Cricetulus griseus: one gene and its partners. The protein of the gene in region 1 purifies or fractionates together with the protein of each later gene. This does not show direct contact. Links are inferred from orthologs where the notes say so. Each region holds a gene or a part of one and is shown on either strand. Other genes may lie near its edges.

Region 1 (6,692 bases):
AACACCCACCTTTTAAATAATAAATAAAGGTGGGAATGAAAAGTTCAGGCATTAATGCTGACCTGCTCTACCTCTTTCAGAGACAGACCCGCCCAGTGACAATGGGTGGGGTGCGCACAGTAACTTGCCACATCACTCATTATGCAGTTTGGAGCTGCATAACTGCGTAGGAACTCTTCATGCGCAAGCTTCCCCTTTTAAAGCCTGTGCCCACCTCTCTCTCTCTCTCCCTCTCTCTCTCTCTCTACTTCTCTTTCCGGTGGTCAACCATTATTTTTTCTCTCTTACTCTCTGCCTTGCTCTATTCTTCCATTTCCTCTCTCCCCCTCTCCCACCCTGTAATAAACTTTGTTTAATGTGCTCTTTATGGTTCATGTTCCATCTCCATATTGACACTTCTAATTTAAGCAAAATAACAACAGAAGGTTCCAGTAAGCTCCAAGACGGAGCTGAGTGTCAGAGAACAGGGTTGCCATGAGAACAAGGATCACAAGCAGGACTTCCTACAGAGGAAGGATTTCAGTATCATAAAGGCCCAGGAGAAGGAAGGTTCCAGTATGTATTGTAGTGGCCCAGAGGGTGTAAGGAAACTGTGGGACTTAGCAGGTAGCTGCTAGGGGGAGATGAGAAGGAGCAGGGTGATAATATATAGGCCCAAGAGGGTGTAAGAAGCAATACAGTGGTTAGCTCTGACAGGAGGAAATAAGGCAGGGGCCACAGGAACTCTACTCAAGGGAGGCCTAGGAGAAAGTAGAGAAGCAGCCTTGGAACTACTGCTCACAGAGGGAGGCAAGGAAGCTCCAGGAAGGGAACAGAGCCAGATAAGACGATCTGAGAAGAGCATGGGTGTTGAGTGAGCTGGGGGCCAGCAGATAGCCATTTGTCCCTTCAAGTGATGAGGAAATGGCTTCTTTGCAGAGGGAAACAGGTGCCAGAATTTGGGGGAGTGGAGTTTCTTTTGTAGGTGTGCTGTGGATAGCCATGAACATCTTGGGCTGCTGTTCACTAGAATCTTAAGAACTAAACTAAGCCTGGTGTTGGTGGCCCATACCTTTAATCCCAGCACTCGGGAGGCAGAGGCAGGCGGATCTCTGTGAGTTCGAAGCCAGCCTGGTCTCCAGAGCGAGTGCCAGGATAGGCTCCAAAGCTACACAGAGAAACCCTGTCTCAAAAAAAAAAAAAAAAAAAAAACCAGAAAAGAACTAAACTAATCGGTAGTGGCGCACGCATTTAATCCCAGCACTCCCGGGCAGAGGTAGGTGATCTCTGTGAGTTCGAGGCCAGCCTGGTCTACAGAGAATCAGGACAGGCTCCAAAGCTACACAGAGAAACCCTGTCTCGAAAAAGCAAAGGTTAAAAAAAAAAAAAAAAAAGAACCAGTGTTCTGGAGTCAGCTGCAGGGTAGAATGTATCTTCATCACCAAACAGGCAGTGATCTTGGCCAAGTTACTTGCCTCCCTCATTCATTCCACAGATGTGACTCCTGGCTGCCAGGGCCGTGCGGATTAATGGGTGGGGAGTAGTCTGTCTGATGCTAAAATGTCAGTGCGTTTGTTTCAAAAGGCGGACTCCAAAGTGTTTAGTACTCAAACTATCAATAACGGCGAGTTCTTCTTTTGAGGTTTGCTGTCTAAAGGCAACTTTTGACTAGAACCGGTCCTAATTCTCTGAGATCACCGACACACCCATTCTCAGAAGAGCAGTGGCATTTCCAGGGACACACAAGCCCCTCGCCCAAACTCCTCTGCAGAGCTATCGTAATCCCACCAGGTGAGGATGAGACTACCACCTCCACTGCTGCGACAGTGAGAGGCCTCAGAGTGAGTCCTCAGAGCCAACCTCGCCACCACGGCAGGTCGGGAGGCGGACAATGCGATGGGCGCAGAGAGCCAGCCCCGAAGAGGCCCATGTGACTCAGGCTCCCGCCGCGCCTCAGAGCCGGCGCAGAGCGATGCCCGCCCAGATAACAATGGCGCTGGTGCGGGCGGGCGGGCGGGCGGGTCGAGGAAGGCCGAGCAAGGGTGTGATGTGAATAGGTCCGGCCGGCACTGCGGGCGAGGACTCATGACGCAAGCCCGCCCTCCATCCCTGGCACCCCGCCCCTCCATCCCTGGCGCCCCGCCCCTCCATCCCTGGCGCCCCGCCCCGCCTTGCAGCCAGAGCCGCAAGATGTCTGCTGGGATAAAGCGGGCGTTAGCGAGGGCCGACCGGGCGTCTTCAGCCCACAAGCCCAGCGAGCGCGGAGGCCGGAGCGCGCCGGGCGAGGTCACGTGGCGCCGGCGCCGGCCTCGCCCCTTAGGCGGCCTTGGCAGGGCCTCCAGGAAGGGGCGGCAGCGGAAGTGACCGCACGGGGTGTTTGGCTGCGTGCGGCTACGTGGCGGAGCCGGCGGAAGTAGTTTCTCCGCTGGACCCTGAGTGTTTGTGTTTTGGTTCGTGAAGGAGCCTGGCGGCCTGAGGGGGAGGAGACGGAGGAGGAGGAAAAGGCGGAGGAAGGAGTCGTCGGAACTCGAGTGCGGCCACTGCGGAGCCGGAGGGAGGCAGGCGGAGCAGAGAGGCAGCCCGGCAGGGGCGGCACGGCGCTCGGAGCCCCGCCGGCCAGGGTGAGAAGCCCCGAGCAGGCGACGCCGCTGCGGCTGCGGCTCCGGCGCATCCCATCTCCGGGCGGTGCGTGGCCTCGCTGCCGGGAGCCGCGCCCCAGGTAAGCCGCCCTCGGCCCCAGCCTGGGCCCGGCTCTCCGGGCGTCTGCAGGGCCTCGGCTCCACACACGCCTCCGGCCAGCCGCTCGAGCCCGGGATGCCGGGACGCTCGCAGGGAGCGGCGGGTGTCACCCTCTTCCCAAGATGGCGCCGTGGGCCGCGGCGGTGTCCGGCCTGGTCCCGGGGTCTCAGTCCTGGCCGGGCCGCCGCCGCGGGGAGGGAGTGGCTTAGAAGCACGGCCACAGGGCCCGGCGGGGTTGCTGGCTCCGGCACCCCGAGTTGGTTCTCGGGTGCTCCGGGAATCCGGGCCTACAGCAGGTGGGGTTCGGGAGCTCCGCCTACCTCTGACTGGCTTGGCCGAGCTGTGGGAATGGTGGGATCCTCTGGTCTTCCGTGGGACGCGGTGAACCGAGGCCTGCGAGCGGGTTAACATCCAGACACTTCCAGAAGTTTAAAGCTCGGACTGTCACACTTGGCATGTTTAGTTTGTGCCTTGCTGAAGTGTATTCAAAGTGCTGAATCAGTTGCCTTTCAGGTAACTAATTAAACAACAGCAAAAAACCCCATGGTGTGTCTCTGGGAATACTGAGGACTGGCCAGATCATTCCTGATGTAAATTTGGACCCATAGGGTTGTGAGCAAAGGATGCACAATTTAAGGGCTCGTAACTTTTTGAATCAAAGATAAGAGCTGTATAACATAAGTACCATTTTCAAAATTTAAGATGCACATTATGCAAAAGTTTTGTTTGTCAGAATAAGTACAAGCAGTGAGTACAAAGGATCGCATGTAGCGCGTGTGCGTGTGTCTGTTTTGCCAGGGGTTGAACACAGTCTCAGCCTCTGTGTGCAGAGCAAGAGCTCTGCTGGCTACTCCCAGTCCGTGCACTTCATTTTTAACATTAATGTCGTGGTCAATGTGTGTATGTTTATAATTTGGCTTATTTCCTGTTTGAGGTCTTTGGAAGTAAAGATTCAGTAGCTTTGAACTTTAAAAGGCGCTGAATATGGAAGCACCCATCTGTCATCCCAGCACTCTGGAAGCTGAGGTAGGAAGATGCGGAGTTCCAGGCTATCCCTAACTTACCCCTGTTCTTGCCTAGGCTACAAGTTCCTCTTTCAAAAAGATGGGGTGGGAAGGGTAAAGAACACTTAAAAAGCAAAACTAAGTGTGAATTTTTGTTCAGTTTTTCTGTGAGAATCCGATGTTTCCCTGAAATTTTAGAAGTACTGTGGACATTCAGAGCAAGTTTTGTCCTGGAAAGCCATCTGTTGTTTTGTAGGTAAGGAACTATTGGGAAACGTTTAAGCTGAAAGTGTATCTGAAGGTGTGTTGATGCCTTTTCAGTCTGCATGACAGTCTATTATTTACAACATTATCTCACCAAAAGGCCATTTAAATTGCCAATTTCAAGCACTGTGTACTTAGTAGGCACTGTATTAGTGACTACATATGTTGTCTTAATTTTCACAGTAGCAATGCAATCTTAGAATTTTATGGATATTGAGATGTGGAAATTAAAACTTTGCTCCAACAGAAATTGGCATAGCCAGGACTGGACTTCAAAATCTGTTTTTGTGGATTGAGGAGAAATGGGAGTTTTATTTATTTATTTTCAGACAAGCTGTCACTGTGTAGCTCTGCGTGGCTTGAAACATGCTTTGTAGACCAGGCTGGCCTGGAACTCCCAGAGATTCATTCGCCTTCCTCTGGACCCAGGTGCTAGCATTAAAATCTTAAACTTCCAAGTCTTTTTTTTTTTTTTTTTTTTTTTTTTTTTCCGTGGGGGCAGGGTTTGAGACAAGGTTTCTCTGTGTGACTTGGCTGTCTAGGAACTGGCTCTGTAGACCAGATTGGCCTTGAACTTAGAGATCTACCTGCCTCTGCCTCCCTAGTGCTGGAATTAAAGGCATGCACCAACCAGCAACCGTGTCTGTTCTTTTGAGACAGGGCCTTGCTATGTCTTTGTCTTTCTCACTGACATGTTTTTGTTTCAGCTTCCCAAGTGCTAGGTTGGAATAGTAGTTTTGTGTTCTCTTGGTTAGAAGCAGCTCAGATATCATTTTATCTGTAAATGTGTCTGTAGTTTTGGAAAAGATAAGTAATCTTCAAAGTTATTAACTTGATCACACCAAGATGTGGTATCTTAAAGACTAAGCAGGGTTTGGTGGGGCATGTCTTTAACTCCAGAGGTAGAGACAGAGATTGATCGATCTCTTTGAGTTCTATGACAGCCATGGTTACATATAGAGAGACCTTGTCTTAAAACAATAAAAATAACACAAAGATCTTATGGATATATTTATCAATGAATTCGTCATTGTCAAGAAAGTTCAATGTATCGACTCAAATTTTATGGGGAATATAGTGCAGTTTTTTTGGCAGGGGAGATGAAATCCTTAGTATGCTTTGTTGTTAATAAGCTTATAAGCCACATTTATTTTAGTTTATGTGTGGGGTGGATGTGTGTGAGTTCCTGTGTGAAGGTGTATGCATTCCATAGCATTTGTGTGGATATCAAACAGACAACCTCAGATCTTGGTCCTCATCTTTTCATTATATATGGTTCCCAGGATCCAAACCTAGACTTACACTGCAAGTACAGTACTCAGTGATTTTTCTTCTTTTTGAAACAAGGACTCTAGGTAAGCTCAGGCTAGTCCCAGGAATACTTCATAGACCTCCTTCTTCTAGGTGCCTGGGATTACAGGGTTACCCCATCCAGGTTCTATATATTGATAAAAGGTTGGACTAAGCTACTTAAAGTTGATTTGTGAATAAACTGAAAAGGGTGTTTCAAAGGGTGCCAGTTCTACCAAGATTAAAAACAAACTGGATGTCTTGGTGCAGATCTTAAGAACAAGAAGTATGAAGATCACCATTTTATGCTTCTTTGTGACACCCTATCTGAAGAGGAGAGGAGATTGTCTCTCAGGCTAGCTTTTTCCAAATGCAATGCTAACAGCATACATTGTTAGCCCAAAAGCTACCCCTCCAAAATTACTGAAAGTAAATAGGTCACTCCTAATCCTACCAGATAGAGAAATCCTTATCAGCCAGGCACACAAACTTGGGAAATTACTATTAAATGAAAAATTTGCCAGGTGTTGGTGGCCCACGGCTTTAGTTGCAGCACTCGGGAGGCAGAGGCAGGCGGGTCTCTGTGAGTCGAGGCCAGCCTGGTCTACAGAACGATTTCCAGGACAGCCTTCTCCAAAGCAATGCAGAGAAACCCTGTCTCAAAAGAACCAAAAAAAGAGTATCATTTAATTGAGGCCTTCAGATAGTAAACTGTAGGATTTGTTCTAAAAACTTTCCATTTACAAGCATAACTTTCTTCAAAAATATTAACCCAAGTAGAACCTGATTTTCTTTTTTATTAACTTTTATAAAGTTATTTACTTCAAAAGTAAAACAGTACATAAAACACAGAACAAGAGAATGACTATTTAATGGTACTAGGAAAGCAAGCAGAATGTTAATAAACTCTGGGCATTTTTATGCCACCTAGTTCTTCAAACAGGATATGTCTTATTTCAGGCATTCTCTCTTTCTACTCAAGATTCTAAAATAAGGTAGACAATATTACAACAATTTAACAAATGAGTAACTGAGGCCCCTTGCAAGAGTCAACCAAATTGCCTGAGATAAGAGTGAATTCATAGCTAAGGGTTGATAGGACATAGAACCTGATTTTCTTTTCTTCATTTTAAAGGGGGTGGGCAGGGAGCAGGATGATGACAAGACAACTGGGACTGGTGTTACAAATGGTTGTGGATCACCCTATAAGCTGAACTCCAGTCACCTAGAATAGCAGTACTCAGGCTAAACCGCCATCTTTCCAGTGCCCAGAACCTGAATTCTTGATTGACCTCCCAGATTGCTCTGTCACAGTTGCTCTGTGACCTCAATGAGCCTTTTCGTACCTGTTTCCTCATTTATAAGATTTGTAAGAGTACTTGATACTGTTGAATGGCTATATTAAGTATTTAAAAT
Region 2 (3,949 bases), on another chromosome or scaffold:
TAAGCACCTGAGACACTAGACAGTATAAAGGATTGTCACACTACTGCATCTTGCATTTGAATTATTTTGAATTCTTGGAAAATAATTAGACGAATAATTCCCAAGATTAGAAAGTACTTTCCTTAATTCAATGCAACCCTCCCCTCTCTTTTTGCTTTAGTATTTTCAGAAAGGCAAGCATTTTAAATAAGGTAGAGTGGTAGAGTGGGAGGTGACAGACCTTGAAAATACTCATGAGAGCTATGTTAACTGTTTGGCATAGACAACCTTTAGCTCACTTATCAATTATGACCACTTCTATATAAGTCTATTTTACTTTAATCATTTCTCCAGCATCTTCGTAGGAGAAAGTTGTTTGGTCTCCTCTTATTTTGGTTGGAAATCAGATTGTGAAACAAAAGATTTATTAAGCATCTACTATTTTTTATTATTCTTTCACAGTCTTTTCTCTGCCTCCTTTTGAAACTTACATTGCTAGGCAGCTGTTTGAACTGATTAGAGAATACAGAAGGAATCCCATTTTGTGGAAACTAGGCAAAGGGATTTTTATTTGGTTGGTTCCCCCTGCCCCCCCACCCCCACTGGAAATACACAGAATATAGTTGGACAGTATTATAATGAAGTGAAAATCGATGTCTCTTGTTCCAAAAATAAAAATACAGACATGCTAGGGGTAAGAGTTTTCCTGGCATGAATGAAAATCTCCTTTGTTCAAAATGAATTGAATTTGAATTTCACTCCTCCTTGAATGTCTCTGACCAAATTTTTGTTCGGTAATTGTCAAGGGGTGTACTCCTCATGCTCGACGAGTCGAATACTTACATTTCTTTTCCGTATCAAACCTCCATGACAAATAAGCTAGTTCACTGAAGACTGTAAAATGAATAGAACTTTTACCACTCTCGTTAACATTTCAAATACTTTATCTTTGCCACTTTCCTGGACCCTTCACCCTAGAACTACAACACCCAGAATGCACTGTTTTTCCTTCCGCCTTCTACAGAGAGTCGGCCTGAGGAATTCACAGCCACAAACAAAGGTCACATGACACGTTTCCTGTCAAGATGGCGGATAATCTCCCTTCGGAGTTTGATGTGATCGTAATAGGGACGGGTATGTGTGGCCGTGGTTTTTCCTAGACAAAATTTAGGAAATAATTCTCGCCTTTTAGTTTCTCTTTCAGTGGCGATGGTTGGCGAGAAACGGCGGGGGTCGAGCCTGGGAGGGAGGAGGCAAAGGAAGTGAGGTAGCCTGGAGTCAGCGCGGGACTTGGCAGCTCCAGGGAGGGGCTTGGAACCTCGGTGTTTTGCGCCATTTGAGTAGGGGTCGATCTGGTCGATGCCGATTGCTGAGGTTGGTTGCTGCGGTGATTCCTGTTAATTTCCTAGAGGAGGGTGGGTTTGCAGTGTCATGAGAATGGAGGGTCGGTATTTGATCAATGGAGACGCCATTGGCATACTATAATTGCCTCTTTCCCTCGTTGATTTCAAGGTTATATTCCCCATCGTTTTCTGTCGCCATCTCATAGGGCTTTTTCCATATACTTACATGATTCTAGGATACGTTGCAGCTCAGATGTAGCTTAATTTGCAGTTAATAAGAATGATGCTCAGTCTCCCCCCCCCCCCCCCCCATGTATTTCTATTACGGGAAAGGAAGTGGACTCCTTTTTTATGTGTTGAGTACCCTAAGAGCCTTTTCCCCACTGAGGTAGCCATTATTCTTGCATTCTGGTATTTAAGGCATCCTTGTTTATGATGCAGAAAGGAAGCATATTGCTTTCTTTCACCCATCTATACACCACAACTAGATGTGCCCAGAATAAGCCCCAATGTTCATTCCAGATCCTGTGCCTGACCTTAGCTTCTCCTTGTTTTTCCATCATTAGTTCTCCATGTTTTGGGTGGAGTCAGAAATCCTCTTCCGCTTCTAGTTGATTAGTTAATCCTACAACACTTGTCAGCAATTAACATTTCTTTTCTTAATTATAAGGGATGTAGTTTGCATAAGATAAAAGAGATAGTGGGTGGGTTTTTCTGCTGTCTGTAGAATGTGGTAGGCAGCACAAGCTTTGGTGAATGGGACTCTGTCCATTGTATTAATTTAATTTGCTCTGTTCCCATAGAGTAAGAATAGCCATATTTCCAGGTTTAGAGTAAAAACAATAGCAACTCGTTTTCAAATGTTTGTCATTTCCTAATCAATAGACTAAGCAATTCACAAAATTCCAACAACAAACTTGCTCGAATGGATATTCTCTTCAATACACAGAAGAGGAGAAGCAGCCTGGAAGTCTAACTTGCCAAAGTCACACTGCTGGTAAATATCCAAAGACCAGCAGTATTCAAGAAATGGAATCACTTTTTATTTACTCTCAAAATTGTACAATGTTAGCAGAAATAAGTGGGAAAACTTATTCTAGATCATGCTAATTCAATTTCCACAATTTTGAATATAAGGAGCTTAGATCAAATAGCCTTTAAAGGTGTTATCCAAACACAAATTCTCATATTGTAGATATACCGGAGTAATTAATTGTTCTTAGAAGAGTGGAGGTGTGTTTATTCCCAGTCTGAAGATTACTACCACAATAGCTAACCTGGTTGTAACTGCAATGAACAGATGTTGGATGACACAGTAGACTATTCACTTCTCCCAGTCTGCTCTAAAACAACACCATCCATTTTTAGAGTAAGGTGTTTTTTTTTTCCCCGTTTTGTTTTTTAAATTTTACTTGAATTCTACTTGATTTGGGTGATATGGTAACTTTTATTAAATGTATTAATTCTTTTAGACACATTCAAAAGTGGAAACATTTGGTGAAAGTCATTTTTCAAATAAAATGATTCTGACACTTTCAATCATTTCTTGTAATTGAACTGATTTTTAAAGCATTTTGCTTTCTTTCTGAAATACTTCATTGAAGTAGACTTCAAATGTGTTGGCATTGTTACATTAATTCGTAGATAACTTACAGGAAAAGCAGTGTTTCATAACTTCAGTTCTGTTGACAAAAGCAAAATGAAGTATATCATTATCAGAAACAAGTAAAGAACTAGGCTGTGAGTTATAGTTCCCCTTAAGCATGTTTCTAGTTAAAATATCACCAAGAGACAATTGCTTCATCAAGTAGAATCATCCAAGAATATTGTAAATGTCTACCTACCTTAAATAGTTTTTTATTTTTTCATTTTTGCATGACCTGGTATAAAGGTTTCCTTTAAAGTCATATTTTCAAGATAAGGGAAAATAATATCAGAATACCCAAAGAAAGAAAGTTAAGATACAGCACTTGAACTATGGAGGAATAGATTAAAGAGGTAAAACCAATTGGAATCTCAATAGGGAGGAAAGATGGTCATAAACAAATGATTAGAATGTGGTCTTTGGCTTGGGTACACTATTGTCATTTCAGAATAGTTTGGCATTTAAAAATAATTTTATCAATAATTTTGTGGGTTGTGGAAAAGTTACCATTGGGTGCAGGTTAAAAATTATCCTAGCAACAAATTGTATGATCTCCAGCAAGGCCAAAAAGTCACAAGGGAGGAAGAAATATTAGGTATAAAGGATATATGATAACATTGACATATGCCATATATAGGAGCATAATTCAGCTCCTAACTTGGAATATATTCTTATTTTAGATAGAATTCTAGCTTGCTTAAAATGCACTATAACCAACTCATTTTGAAGGACAGACTCTTATCACCCGTGAAGAATATGTTTGGCTGGTGCTATTAGATGCACAGCTGACTGAAAACTCAGAGCTCTATAAGGAAGGGAATGTACATGAAGTGGCATAATGCCTTGACATGTATTAGTGTAAACACATACACACACACACACACACACACACACACACACACACACACACACAATCTTTTTTTGTGGTATTTAGTTACTATAGAGAAACTGCTCTCCTGTGCTTGTAATACTTACTGTATTG
Region 3 (4,106 bases), on another chromosome or scaffold:
TATGATGCCTACCAGGGAACTGGTCTAACTTGTAGTCCTTCTGGCCCAACCACAAGGCTCTGGTGGTCATGTTCTGTCTGTATACCGCTGAGAAAGATTTCTATTGGCCATCCCATGCTCACCCCTACTCCCTATCTATATACCTAGTTCCTCACTAACCCATTCTCCATTCTCATCTCTGTGGCTGGGAGAATTTTTAAATAGGAGGATCAGATTTGCAGCCATATGATGTGTGTATTAAGATATATGTATATTATCCTTATTTTACAATTGTAGGAAGAATACAAGAGACACCAGAAGTTTAAGGAGAACGCATTATTACACATCATCAGTGGGGTATGTGGGGCAGTGACAGGGAGATCCCAGGAGCTTGGGGACAGCTAGTTGAGGTGGCAATCTCCGGGTTTAGTAAAATACCCTCCTTCCCTCTCCCTCTGCCTCTCTCCCTCTCTCTCTCACTTCCCAAGTGCTGGAATTAAAGGCTCCCCTTGCCCTGCCACAGAGAGTTCAATTACACAGGGCTTCACTAACCACAACCTCCAAGGAACATAAATGTTTTGGGTTTTTTTTGTTGTTGTTGTTGTTGGTTTTGGTTTTTGTTTGTTTGATTGGTTTTGTTGGTCTAGCACTGCATCCCTGGAGCCTAGGACTGTGGCAGCCCAGTCCTTATGCTAAAGAAGAGGTGACTGAAAACAAACACTCTGTCTTATGCTGCAGAGGAACCCGGCTACTGTAACTGCCTCTTCCTTACTCCCCCTACCTCTGGAGCATGGCTGCCTGCCCAGCTTTGACTGTGGCTCTTTGTCCCTTCCTTCCTCCCAACCCAAACCATATTTGGTCTCTGCTCAGGGTCCTGGAAGCACTGTGCGTGCAGGTGTTCCCCACCCCGTCTCTTTCCACACTGTGATCCGGACGATGATTCCTTCCCATGTCCACAGTGCTGACTCGTCTCTACTGGTGCTCCTATCACTGCTTTCACAATGAGCAGAAAAATCTCTTCAGGTATCAGAGCACAGCCCTCAACCAGCTGCCTGCTTCCCACTACCTCAGAGAGAAGGCCAAATATAACTCATGACAACTGCTTTTGCCATGAAGAGGCGTGTCATCAATTGGGTTGTTCTTATCTGTGAGGGCACCTGGTTTAGCTTCTCTCTGCCAGAAGCTAAGTCTGTTTGGCTTCCTCACCCCCATGTTCATGTCACACATGTCTGAAATGCCCTTCCTGCCTTCTCTTTCCAAAACACAGGCCCCACCTTCTTGAGTGCAGATGTTTTCCAGAGGACTCACTTCCTCTCGAGCCTGCCTGACTCAGCTCTGCCAGTTTCAAGATCGCTAATTATTAAATAGTCTTTCATGCTTACCTCAACCTTCACCCACCTCCTCCTCTCCTCCCTTAGTGACTATGATGTAACGCTGTCTGGCATCGGTGTTCCTGGTATCTGGTTGAATGTCTGAGTACCTATAAGATCCGGAAGTAGCCAAACAACAAAAAAAATGGATGATGAGGTAAGACTAGACCAGAATCATATCTGAGTCTTATCTAGCTACTTACTACATGGGTGACCCTCAGCAAGCTAATCTTTTTGGACCTCTGATTCATGCATGTTTGTCAGGAGAGCTAAAAATCATAACTATATTATTATTTACTGAGCAATTATTCAGTATAGTCATTATTCAAAGAACTTCTTTGTGTAGCCCTTACTGTCCTGGAACTTGCTCTGTAGACCGGGCTGGCTTCAAACTCACAGGGATACTCCTGCCTCTGCCTCCCTAGTACTGAGATTAAAGGCATATGCACTTTATTTAATCTTCACATCAACTCGAACATATAAATAAAATGTTTCTTCTGTTACTGAGTTTTTTTGAGACTATGTGGCAAAAACTAACCTGGAACTCCTTTACTAATCCAGGTTGGCCTCAACCTTGACATTTTTTTCTCTCCTCCCAAGTACCAGGGTTACAGGTGTTCTCCAAGACATCCAGCTTTTTTATTTTCTCATTTTGAAAGAGCATCTTACTGCATAGCACAGGCTGGCTTCAAACGCAGGATCCTCCTGCCCCAACCTCCCAAGGGCTTGGATTAGAGGTGTGACCCATCATGTTAGGAAGAGTCATGTTTTAAATCACTCTGCTTCTACCTCCGTGTGTGTGTGTGTGTGTGTGTGTGTGTGTGTGTGTGTGTGTGTGTGTGTGTGTTCATATGCCTCACATATATACAGAGCTCCCATCACAATCATAGCACCAGGAGCAAAGATAACCAGTAACTTACGTATGTTTTCCCCACTGGGACTGATGTATACAAGTCCAGGAAAAATCATCTTTTTTCCTCTAAAATAAGTGACAGGACCTAGAAAAAGACTGGGGACATAGTGAGTACTTTAAGTACATTTCCAGGGCACAAAAGGTGAATTGATAGGGGAGGGGACATGGTTGGGATGAAAACCATTTCAACAACCTTAGTGGGACCTGGAATGGGGAGGACATTAACAGAAAAGCAGAGAGAGAGAACAGTGCCATTCTGGACAACAATGAGAAGAAAGCTAGCATTCGGGAGAGATGGACATGACAGTATCTTTTAGCGTTTGTAGTTTGAAATACCTCTAGAACATACTCAGTTTCTTTTTTTCATTTTCTTGTTGTTGTTTGTTTGTTTGTTTTTGGTTTTTTGTTTTTTGGGTTTTTTTGTTTTGTTTTGTTTTGTTTTGTTTTGTTTTTTTTGAAACAGGGTTTCTCTGTATAGATTTGGAGGCTCTCCTGGAACCAGCTCCTGGAACCAGGCTGGTCTCGAACTCACAGAGATCTGCCTGCCTCTGCCTCCTGAGTGCTGGACTAAAGGCGTGCACCACCGCCCGGCCTCGTTTCTTAAAAATCAGAAATCTCACGATTACTTAAACTGGCCTTAAACTCTATAGAGTTTAAGTGGTTCTCAACCTGTGGGTCACCAACCCTTTGGGGGTCGCATAGCAGCTGTTCTGCAGATCAGATATTTCTATTATGACTCATAACAGTAGTAAATTACAGTTATGAAGTGGCAATGAAATCACTTTATGTCTGGGGATCACCACATGGGGAACTGTATCAAAGCGTTAGGAAGGTTGAGAACTTCCTGCATCAACCTCCTGAGAAGCTGATATTACAAGCACCACCACGGCCCCTGGCTTTTTCCAATGGGCTTCTGAATGTGTCAACGCATACGTATACTGATATGTAATTATTATTATCATTATCATTATGCATGTGGACGGACATCTGGGCTAGAGACTTGGGTACCATCACCTTCCCGATAGCAACCATGACTGTGGATGAAATTAAGAGAGCAGGCAGGAACCTGAGAGTTTTTGACAGCCGAAATTCGCTGGTGTCAGGTTGTTGGGGAAACTTCTTCAACTAGGTTGCAGTTTGAGTTGGTAACGGGAAGCCTTTCCATGTCATTCACACATTCGCCAGCCACCTTTGCTCACACACTCCTAGGCGCTAACAAGAACTGGATGACACACACGCAGCTCCCTCCCCGAGCCTGCAGGGGGCGCCGCGCCTCCCCTCACACGGCGCGAAGCCTCTCTAGCCAGGCTGGAACTCGGTGGCAGCGCCGGGCTGCACGTCCCGACACCTCTTCCCAGAGAAGGTGGGTTCGCCCGCGGGGGAGAGGGTGCTGGGATCAGCGGGACGGGCGGGCACTGCTCTCTCCGGGTGCCTCGGCTCGGGCCCGGCCTACCGAAGCTCCGGTTGTGGTGAGTGCCTCCGCCTGATCTCGCAGTTCCAGCCGCGGGACCTCTTCACTCAGGCCCGCGGGCAGCTTCCGGGAAACACCTGGGGGGCGGGGCTGTGTGGGCGGGGTTCCGTGATTGACATCTTTCTTCGCAGACTGAACGAACTACCTCAGGACCCCTCCTCTGGACCCTTCCTCTGTCCCCGACGCTGAGCCGACACCATGGTGAGTCCAGCCCCCTGCCCCTGCATGCCCACGCCCTCACCCCGCGTGGCTTTCTGTGGGGCTTCTGCAAGTCTGCCCCTGCAAGACAACCTGCATTTTTATCCCCCTACCCATCCCCGTAGCATGGGCGCCTGAAGGTGAAGACGTCTGAAGAGCAGGCAGAAGCCAAAAG

The links.
Region 2: the proteins of Rab5a (region 1) and Chm purify together in Homo sapiens (affinity purification with mass spectrometry; 3 studies listed by BioGRID and IntAct, counting the BioPlex papers as one, with this or other methods). This does not show direct contact. The link is inferred for Cricetulus griseus from reciprocal best matches to the Homo sapiens genes RAB5A and CHM.
Region 3: the proteins of Rab5a (region 1) and Rabggta purify together in Homo sapiens (affinity purification with mass spectrometry; 3 studies listed by BioGRID and IntAct, counting the BioPlex papers as one, with this or other methods). This does not show direct contact. The link is inferred for Cricetulus griseus from reciprocal best matches to the Homo sapiens genes RAB5A and RABGGTA.

Annotation. Positions count from the first base shown.
Region 1 is NW_023276806.1:249,794,580-249,801,271, reverse strand, and holds the start of Rab5a (ras-related protein Rab-5A), read left to right. Parts: upstream 1-2,560; 5' UTR 2,561-2,698; intron 2,699-3,652; 5' UTR 3,653-3,744; intron 3,745-3,882; exon of another isoform or gene 3,883-3,978; intron 3,979-6,692. UniProt on the Homo sapiens protein: The small GTPases Rab are key regulators of intracellular membrane trafficking, from the formation of transport vesicles to their fusion with membranes.
Region 2 is NC_048604.1:58,850,219-58,854,167, forward strand, and holds the start of Chm (rab proteins geranylgeranyltransferase component A 1), read left to right. Parts: upstream 1-1,149; 5' UTR 1,150-1,338; coding exon 1,339-1,353; intron 1,354-2,207; coding exon 2,208-2,319; intron 2,320-3,949. UniProt on the Homo sapiens protein: Substrate-binding subunit of the Rab geranylgeranyltransferase (GGTase) complex.
Region 3 is NW_023276807.1:210,918,589-210,922,694, reverse strand, and holds the start of Rabggta (geranylgeranyl transferase type-2 subunit alpha), read left to right. Parts: upstream 1-1,306; 5' UTR 1,307-1,506; intron 1,507-3,471; 5' UTR 3,472-3,625; exon of another isoform or gene 3,626-3,731; intron 3,732-3,864; 5' UTR 3,865-3,931; coding exon 3,932-3,934; intron 3,935-4,056; coding exon 4,057-4,106. UniProt on the Homo sapiens protein: Catalyzes the transfer of a geranylgeranyl moiety from geranylgeranyl diphosphate to both cysteines of Rab proteins with the C-terminal sequence -XXCC, -XCXC and -CCXX, such as RAB1A, RAB3A, RAB5A and RAB7A.